Linked DNA regions of Canis lupus familiaris. The protein of the gene in region 1 binds, or shares a complex with, the protein of each later gene. Links are inferred from orthologs where the notes say so. Each region holds a gene or a part of one and is shown in the gene's direction. Other genes may lie near its edges. The genes, in order: BANP and IRF2BP1.

What was found.
Region 2: BANP (region 1) and IRF2BP1 share a complex: the UniProt entries of both Homo sapiens proteins name them as parts of the corepressor complex. The link is inferred for Canis lupus familiaris from reciprocal best matches to the Homo sapiens genes BANP and IRF2BP1.

Annotation. Positions count from the first base shown.
Region 1 is NC_049226.1:65,737,872-65,742,453, reverse strand, and holds the start of BANP (protein BANP), read left to right. Parts: upstream 1-1,630; 5' UTR 1,631-1,754; intron 1,755-2,355; exon of another isoform or gene 2,356-2,778; intron 2,779-4,582. UniProt on the Homo sapiens protein: Controls V(D)J recombination during T-cell development by repressing T-cell receptor (TCR) beta enhancer function. Binds to scaffold/matrix attachment region beta (S/MARbeta), an ATC-rich DNA sequence located upstream of the TCR beta enhancer.
Region 2 is NC_049222.1:110,448,879-110,453,394, forward strand, and holds IRF2BP1 (interferon regulatory factor 2-binding protein 1), read left to right. Parts: upstream 1-1,452; 5' UTR 1,453-2,147; coding exon 2,148-3,902; 3' UTR 3,903-4,309; downstream 4,310-4,516. UniProt on the Homo sapiens protein: Acts as a transcriptional corepressor in a IRF2-dependent manner; this repression is not mediated by histone deacetylase activities. May act as an E3 ligase towards JDP2, enhancing its polyubiquitination. Represses ATF2-dependent transcriptional activation.

The DNA of each region.
Region 1 (4,582 bases):
TATAATTATAATTTTGATTGGCTTAATTCCTGATGATGACTTAGCACTGGTATAGAACCCAGTAGTGTGCTAGGCCTCGCCAGGAAGGAGCCAGCAACCCATATCCACAACAGAGCTACAGACAAAAGCTTTGTTGAGATTTTGAAATAACATGAAAAAGATCAGTCTACAAAAAACAAAACAAAACAAAAAAACAAAACAAAAACAAAAAGATCAGTCTACATTTATCTACTCTGTACTCAGATATTTGCATGTCCATGTTAAGAATTCTTAGTTAAGTGTTTAGTTTTGGCTACGGTTGAGGCAGAGGTGGGGATAGAAGACATTGCCCTCACTTATCTCTCAGGATTTGCACGTTTAGCTTCTGCCATCCTCTTCCCCACTATGAGCACACTCTAGACCAGAGTGTTTTGGTTTCTAAACCCTGGTTTTGTCTTCTTCCAGCAGTGTGACCTTGCTGAGCAATTTCCCTTCCTCCCAGGACAATTCTCATTTCAATGCGAGCATCTTTTCCAGCACCGATCTTCTGTGATTGTTCTCTGTAATTTCTTCAAGGCACCTTTCCTGTAAAGCTAAGCCAAAGATCAGCCTCGGTAGATCCCCCAAGTGTGCATTCTGGAAGAGACTATTACTAGCAAGGTTGCCCAAGGGCAAGCAGCTCGTTACTGCCTCCAAGAATCAGGTTTTTATCATCGGCAAAAAGGGAAGTAGGCAGGAAAGTTACAGAAACAGTAGAGCATTTTCTTTTCCAAATGAAAATAGCTCCACAGTCTTGTTTTTGGACGACCGAAGAAATTCTTGCCCGTTGTAAACAACTCAGAAAACAAAGGCAAGTGTAAAGAAGAAAACAAAAAGCAGGGTAACCCCAACGCACAAGAAGAGCAACAGTGATACCAGTGAGCAGGAGTAACATTGCCGGATGGTGTGTACAGCCAGTGGTTTTTCCCCACGAGCACCAACAGACCAGCACTTATGCTACACACGTGTAACACAGCCACATGCACACCGCATGTTCGTGTACATACGCACACACAGAGATTACTTCCACACGGGACAGGTCACACCACGAACACACATTTTCCCCCACGCGTGAGCCCTGGGAAGTGTGGTCAGACTCCGGGGACCCGGAGCACCAGCTATTACTCGGGGGCACCCCTTCGGAGTCGCAGCGGCCTCAGGCCCCCCGTCTCCAACTACAAGTCCCAGCAGTGGCGGGCGCGGGCGCCGACGGGAGGCCGGAGTCCGGAGAGACTACAAGTACCAGCAGGCTTGGCGCACACGCCGGGACTACGATTCCCAGGAACCTCAGCTCGCGGCTCGCGCAGAGCCCTCCGGGATATGTAGTCGTCGCGCGCACCTAATTCCTATTCATTCAGCCTCTGAAGAAACGTAAATTCCTCTCGCGGTCCACCGACGCGACTTCTCACGGGGCTAGCGAGGAGACGGAGCGCGCGCCGGGAAAGGAAAGATTCCAGGCCCCAACCGTGGCGCGGCCGGACGACGCGTGCGCATGCTCGGCGGTCGCCGGCGCCGGCGAAGGCGCGCGCGGGAGGCCTGGAGCGGCAGGCCCCGCCCCCTGGCCCGGTCCCCGGGCCCGGCGCGCCCCGCGTGAGGAGCCTGCGCAGACGGGGCGGGGCGGAGGGCCGCGGGGAGGGACTCGCGGCGCCTGCGCAGAGCGGCGGCTTCTCTCGCGAGGACGGACGCCATTATCGCATCTCCCCGACAAACACCACGAGAATTCCGCAGCCCACACGGTAATTGCAGCTCCCGCAGCCGGTCGCGTCTCCACCTCCCCCTTCCCGCGGGGCGAGAGCGAGAGCGAGAGCGAGATCTCCCCTCCTCCCTCCTCCCTGCGCCCTCCTCCGGCCGCCGCGCCCGCGCCCGCCGCCCCCGCCCGGGACGCCCTGCGCGGCCGCCCAACGGCCCGCCGCCTTCGGCCCCGCCGGCGCGCCCCGCTCCCGGCGCCCTCCCCGCCCGCTCTGGCTCCCCCGGCCGCCGCCGCCGCCGCCGCCCCCGCCAGCCGCCCCCGCCCCCCGCGAGGGCCCCGCGCCGCGCCCCGGACGGACCCGGGCACAGGCCTCCCCTGTCAGTCGGCGCCCGGGGCCCGCGGGCAGGCCGCCCTGCGCCCGGTGTGCCCGCCCCGCGGGGCCGAGGGCTCACGGGGAGGGGAGGGGAGGGGAGGGGAGCGCTCAGGCTTGGGGAGTGCGGCCTGGGGTTTGCCTCGAGACCCCCGCCCCGCCCCGCCCCCGGTGGGCGCCCTGCACCGGGCGCTCCTCGAGGACGCGGGGGCTCGGGGGCTGCCGGGGGGCTCGGGGGGCTCGGGGCTGGCCGCCCCTGGCGCCCTCTGCACCGGCTGCACCCCCCGGCCTCGCCAAGGTCGGGGTAGTCCAGGGGTCGCCCCAGGTGAGGGACCCGGGGGACCGCCCGCCCATTACTCCGCTTCCGGACCGCCCTGCATACGAGGATCTAGAGGATCTGGAGGATCTAGCGGCGGGGAGACCGCGGAACAGCCCCCGAGATGAGTCGTCTCTGTTTAGCTTCGTTCTCCCTTGTGTTGCACTAAAGTGAGAACATGTGCTCAGGATGTTGGATTCCGTGGACATCCCGTGGCCTTAGGGTCTGGAAGTGGCTGCCGTGCCCGCGCTCTGTGCTGTGGCTGGGCCTGCGGACCACTCCCAGGGCTTCTCATCGCAGCCATCTAGAGAGGTGACCGGCCACCGGGGTTAGGACACTCGTCCAAGACGCGGGGAGCCAAGGCCTTGAACTCCTCTCTCCGAGGTCCGTGCTCTTAAATAATAATACATCTAGCAGTCATGCACACGGTAAACCCTCAGGGGAAAACTTAGGTTGAAGAGCAACAGCCCCGTCTTACTCCTCAAAGACTTAACATCTTTTTGCTCTTGGGGAAGGTCTCCGTAGCTCTGGAGAGTACCTTGGTATTTTATTAGTCTTACACATTGTTGACATTCTGTTATCATACGATGATTGAGCCCTTCCTATCATATCCCACCTTTTCTATCCCCTTAATTCACTGTGTTCACTTGACTCAGATTGTTTAAGACCGAGCAAATACTGTTTTTCACTTCTACAGCTTTCTGTTTTTTTCTGTTGTTTGTAGTGGCCTTTCTTTTTCTTTGCATTCTCTGTTCCCATTGACTCTTTACGTTGTAAATTATCAAGGGATAAGGTCATCTCTCCAACTCCCCACTCCTCCCTCCCCCCCATCCTCCTCAGCCCTCTGTCCTCTTTTTCTAATCTGGATTGATTACTCAGGCCAGTACAAGTATTCTTCTGATATTTTCCTTTATTATACATCCCAGTTTGTACAGGATTCCATGTTTTAATCTTGGCTTTCTTCATTTCAATATCATTTCTGCCAAATAGTCTTATTCGTTTTGAGTAACTCCTTACAATCCGCTTTGGTGTTAGGACATTTCCAGAGTGCCCTAGGATGTGGAGTCTCACTGTGGATGTTCAGTGCTTCTGGGCGCTTGCCCTTCAGCTCTGGGAAATCCTCTTGTATCTGACAATTTCCCCTGCATTTACTCTTTTATTTTGATGATGGACATCTTGGATTGACCCACTGAATCTTGTGTCTTTATCCTCTTTTGTCATTTTCTTCTCTTTTTTGGGAGAGGGCTTCAAGTTATCTTCCAATCCTGTTTAAAATTTTTTATTTCCACAGTTGAAAATTGATCAAAAACTTATGTGTTCTCCCCGCCCCCCCCCCCCCCCCAGTAGCTACTTGTGAACATATTCTTGATTTTGAGGATACCAACATGGGATTTTTTTCAATTCTTTTGTTCTTTGATTTCTTATTTCCTCTAGTGCCATTGTTGCCTTTTAAAAAATATTGGCTTCATACTTCATGTGGCAAATATTCCTTAAATATTGGTAATTGTTGTTTAAAGCAAGAGGAAATGGGCAGAGAGCTCTGAGTCTGTGGGGCTGGTTTTGAAAATGTGTGGGTCTCCCCTCAAGTCATTGGGAACTTGTTACTGTGTGGGACTTTGAGTGCCAGATTGCAGAGACTTTTTCTGTGGGTCTTACAGCTTAAGACCAGATCCCTTTGATTTGGGATTGGTCTACCTGGTCTAGGGAGGGTGTGAGCAGAAACGGCCTGTGCTCTGCTGAGTGTTCTGGCCTGCCACAGGCTTACCCACTTTGGCTGTACCCACTCCTGTATGCCCCAGATTGTGGTTTCCTTTGCCTCCATTAGATCCTATCAGTCTCCCAGAAATTTGCAAAGTATCTTGTCTGTGTCATATTTTCTTTCTTGTGGGATTGTTATATGCAATTAAAAATTAATTTAATGGGATGAGCAGAGATCACCTTTGTGGCAAGTTGCTCCTTGTGAGCAGGAATTACAGAGCCCGTTCTTGTCTTTCTGCTCTGCTGCCTCTCTTGGTAATGGATGCCATCCGTCAGTGGAACCGATGCCCTGAGCATTGTCCCCGTGGTCATCTCCGCGTTGCAGTGTGGGCGGATGTCGTGTGTTCCTCCTGGAGGTTCTGGCTCTGCAGCCTTGGAGGCATGCCAAGCTCAGCTGGGGAAGGCCAACCATAGACAAGTGTAGCAAAGG
Region 2 (4,516 bases), on another chromosome or scaffold:
GGTTTGTGGCAACCCTGTGTCAAGCAAGTCAATTGGTGCCATTTTTCCAACAGTCGCTCACTTGTGTCTGTGTTACATTTGGTAATTCTTGCCATATTTCCAACTTTGGCATTATTACTACATTTGGTATGGTGCTCTGTGATCAGTGACTAAAACTCAGAGCTCAGATGACGGTTAGCATCTTTTAGCAATAAAATATTTTAAAATTAAGGTATATATGTTGTTTCTTTGGACGTCATACTAGCGCACGCGCATAGCGTAACCTTCACTTTTAGACGCGCTGGAAAAACCGAGAAGTTCATCTGATTTGCTTTGTTGCTAGATTTGCTGTATTGTGGTGGTCTGGAAGGAGCCTACAATATTTCCGAGGTATGCTTGTATTTCTTAGGATGAGGCAAAAGTAATCCTTTTTAACGCCTTTACACACACACACACACACACACACACACACACACACCCCACCTCAGGGGAGTCAATTTCCAGAAAATAATCCAGGTGGTAAGTGAAATTGTGAAGCTGACACTGATTGGCTAGCAAAATCAGAGCTGCTAGGATAGCAGCAGGATGTGGGAGAGGAAGCAGACAATCCAATTAGTTTGAGAACTACTAATGAATGCAACTCTGACAAGCCATTCAGATATTTTTTGAGCGCTTATCCCAGCTTACAGAGAGCAAGAGGGTGATGGGTGTTAGAATCTGGAGACTTCTCTCCTCCCCTCCCTAACTCTTCCTGCCTGACTCGCACCGTTCCCGATGCTAGTCCGGGGGATGATGCGGGGTGTCCCCAAAACCTGGTTGGTCCGATCAGGTAGTAAGCACTCAAGGTTGTAGAAAAATCACCCCCCACAACTCTTGCTCGCCATCTCTGGCCTCTTTCTCTTCCACCAAATTACCGAGCCGTAGAGGATGAGGATTCCCTCAACCTGGTGCTCCCCCAAAAAGTAAAGCGCCCAGAAATTGAGCCGGGGGTGGGAGACAGCGGGAATGGGGAAGGCCTCCTCTCCACCTCCCAGACAGCGGAAGTGCGTCAGTTTATCCTCCCGGCAGAGCATTTTGGGAATTGTAGTGAAGCGGTGGCGGGGAGGCGGGAGGGAGAAACACCGCGTAACCCTTTGTAGACCGGAGCGCGCGGCCGAGCCGGAACGGAGTTCGAGGGCGCTCCACCACTCTCTTTAATAGATGAGACGACTGAGGCCAAGTCCTGGCCCAGAGGCCTCCGTTCTTCCCCTCGCTCCGGCTGTTCCCGGCCCAATTCAGAGAATGCTACACAAGACAGCAGGAAAACGAGGTGCCAAAGCAGAACCCTCCCTCCCCGAGTTGCCAGCTTTCCCGTCCCCCCTACCCTGCAACCATCCAATCAGAGCCCCTCCGCCCCGCCCCAGAAGCTGCTGCCTCCCTAACCAGTCATTGGCCCACCTTTGATGGGCGGGGAATCGGGCTTCAGAGAGAGCAAGACTTTTGCCTGAAGGTGCACAGCAAGTCCGATCCGACTCTAGACGCCCGAAAGCTTGTCCACTTCCTACCATGTCTGAATCCGGGGTAGCTCTGACCATTCAGATATCATCTCCGCTCCCAAGCCCCAGTGCCCCAGCTCCTCTGAGCACGCCGAGCTCACCGCCGGGCAGCGTCGAGCGGTAGGATTTGCGCGGCTGAGAGACGGCGAGCCCGCTCCTCCGGCGCCAGCCGTCCCCTTTAAGAATCGGCCCCGGCGGGACTACGTTTCCCAGAAGGCTTTGCCGGCGCGTTATGTAACTTTCCCTGCGAAGCGGCCTCTGGGGCAGAAGGAGGTGGAGGCGGCGGCGGCCGTTGCAGCGGCGGCGGCGGCGGGAGCGGCGGGACCCCGAGGCGGCGGCGCCCGCGGCCCATCGCGGGGCCGGAGCTGTGCGCCTCGGCCGGGAGCCCGGAGCGGGCGGAGGCGCCGACGTGCCTCCTACAGGCTTTTCAAGGAGGCGGGAGTGAGGAAAAAGGCTTAGGGCCCAGGGGGCGGAGAAGGGGGGCCGGGCCTGGATCCGCGGGGAGGCCGAGCCGGAGAGGCCTGACTGTGGCTCGCGCGGTCCCCGGGACGCGAATCGAACGTCGGGCGGCGCGGATCGAACGTCGGCGGCGGGTGGAACGCCGGGGCTCAGCGGCGCGCGCGCGCGGGGGTCATGGCGTCGGTGCAGGCGTCCCGCCGCCAGTGGTGCTACCTGTGCGACCTGCCCAAGATGCCGTGGGCCATGGTGTGGGACTTCAGCGAGGCTGTGTGCCGCGGGTGCGTGAACTTCGAGGGCGCGGATCGCATCGAGCTGCTCATCGACGCTGCCCGCCAACTCAAGCGCAGCCACGTGCTCCCCGAGGGCCGCTCCCCCGGGCCCCCAGCCCTCAAGCACCCGACCACTAAGGACCTGGCTGCGGCCGCCGCACAGGGGCCTCAGCTACCGCCTCCGCAGGCCCAGCCCCAGCCGTCAGGGACAGGCGGCGGCATCTCGGGCCAGGACCGCTATGACAGGGCCACATCGTCCGGCCGCCTCCCCCTGCCTTCGCCCGCCCTGGAGTACACCCTGGGGTCCCGCTTGGCTAATGGGCTGGGCCGGGAGGAGGCCGTGGCGGAGGGGGCGCGAAGGGCCCTGCTTGGCTCCATGCCCAGCTTGGTGCCCCCCGGGCTGCTGGCAGCTGCAGTGTCTGGCCTGGGAAGCCGAGGGCTGACGCTGGCACCCGGCTTGAGTCCTGCCCGTCCAGCTTTTGGCTCCGATTTCGAGAAGGAGAAGCAGCAGAGGAATGCGGACTGTCTGGCAGAACTGAACGAGGCCATGCGTGGCCGGGCAGAGGAGTGGCACGGGCGCCCCAAAGCTGTGCGGGAACAGCTGCTGGCCCTGTCTGCCTGCGCCCCCTTCAACGTTCGCTTCAAGAAGGATCACGGGTTGGTGGGGCGGGTGTTCGCTTTTGACGCTACCGCCCGCCCGCCGGGCTACGAGTTCGAGCTGAAGCTTTTTACCGAATACCCCTGTGGTTCTGGCAACGTGTACGCAGGAGTCCTGGCCGTGGCTCGCCAGATGTTTCATGATGCTCTGCGGGAGCCGGGCAAGGCTCTGGCCTCATCAGGCTTCAAGTACCTCGAATATGAACGGAGGCACGGCTCAGGGGAATGGCGCCAGCTGGGGGAGCTGCTCACCGACGGGGTCCGCAGCTTCCGAGAGCCCGCTCCTGCCGAGGCCCTGCCGCAGCAGTACCCGGAGCCAGCCCCTGCAGCCCTCTGTGGCCCACCCCCGCGAGCCCCATCCCGGAACCTGGCGCCCACGCCACGCCGTCGCAAGGCATCCCCTGAGCCCGAGGGTGAGGCGGCTGGCAAGATGACCACCGAGGAACAGCAGCAGCGGCACTGGGTAGCGCCCGGTGGCCCATACTCCGCCGACACCCCCGGTGTGCCTTCACCCATCGCCGCCCTGAAGAATGTGGCGGAGGCCCTGGGCCACTCCCCCAAGGACCCTGGCGGGGGCGGGGGCCCTGTACGCGCTGGGGGTGCCAGCCCCGCAGCCTCCTCCACCGCCCAGCCTCCCGCCCAGCATCGTCTAGTGGCCCGCAATGGTGAGGCAGAAGTCAGCCCCACGGCAGGGGCAGAAGCTGTGAGCGGGGGTGGTAGCGGCACCGGGGCGACCCCTGGGGCCCCCCTGTGCTGTACCCTGTGCCGGGAGCGGCTGGAAGACACCCACTTCGTCCAGTGCCCCTCAGTGCCCGGACACAAGTTCTGCTTTCCCTGCTCACGGGAATTCATCAAGGCACAGGGCCCTGCCGGGGAGGTGTACTGCCCCAGTGGAGACAAGTGCCCCCTGGTGGGCTCCTCTGTCCCCTGGGCCTTCATGCAGGGCGAGATCGCCACTATCCTTGCTGGAGACATCAAGGTTAAGAAAGAACGGGACCCCTAGGCCACCACTGTCACCAGTCTACTGCCTCCCACCCCCTTGCTACCCACCGCTTCTGCGGATAAATTATTCCCTCTCCCCCAGCCCAGTGCTACCCCCACCTGTGTACATACCCCCTTCCTCATCCCAGATGGGTCCCCTGGGGTAGATGCATTGAGGGTGGGGGGAGAAAGCTTGTGGCTTCTGTTCGAGGGGGTGTTTGGGGTCCTACGGCCCCTCCAGTATCCCTCGCCCCTCCTTGGCTTGGCTTTGCTGCTGCTTGTAGTTGGGGGAGAGGTGCCCCCCTCCTCCTTGAGAAGGGGCCTCCTGAAATCTCGCTCTTTATAAACAAAGCAAAAGCATTTTATTGCCCCCCCCTCCCGCCCCCTTTTCCTCCTTCAATAAACCGAAAGATGGTTTTTTTTTTTTTCCTTCTTGGTCCCTTAGTTGTGTGAGATGCTGCGCCCTCTCTGGGACCGAACTGGTCCTGCAGGGAAGGGACTTTGCGTTGTAGCCTCCAGGTGGCGCCCTTCACTCAGGCGGGCCCGTTGACTGTTTTTAGAAAGGCGGACCACAGCTCAAGCGTGCTAGCCATCTGCCCATTTTCCAGATGGCAGAACTGAGGCCCAGAGCACGGG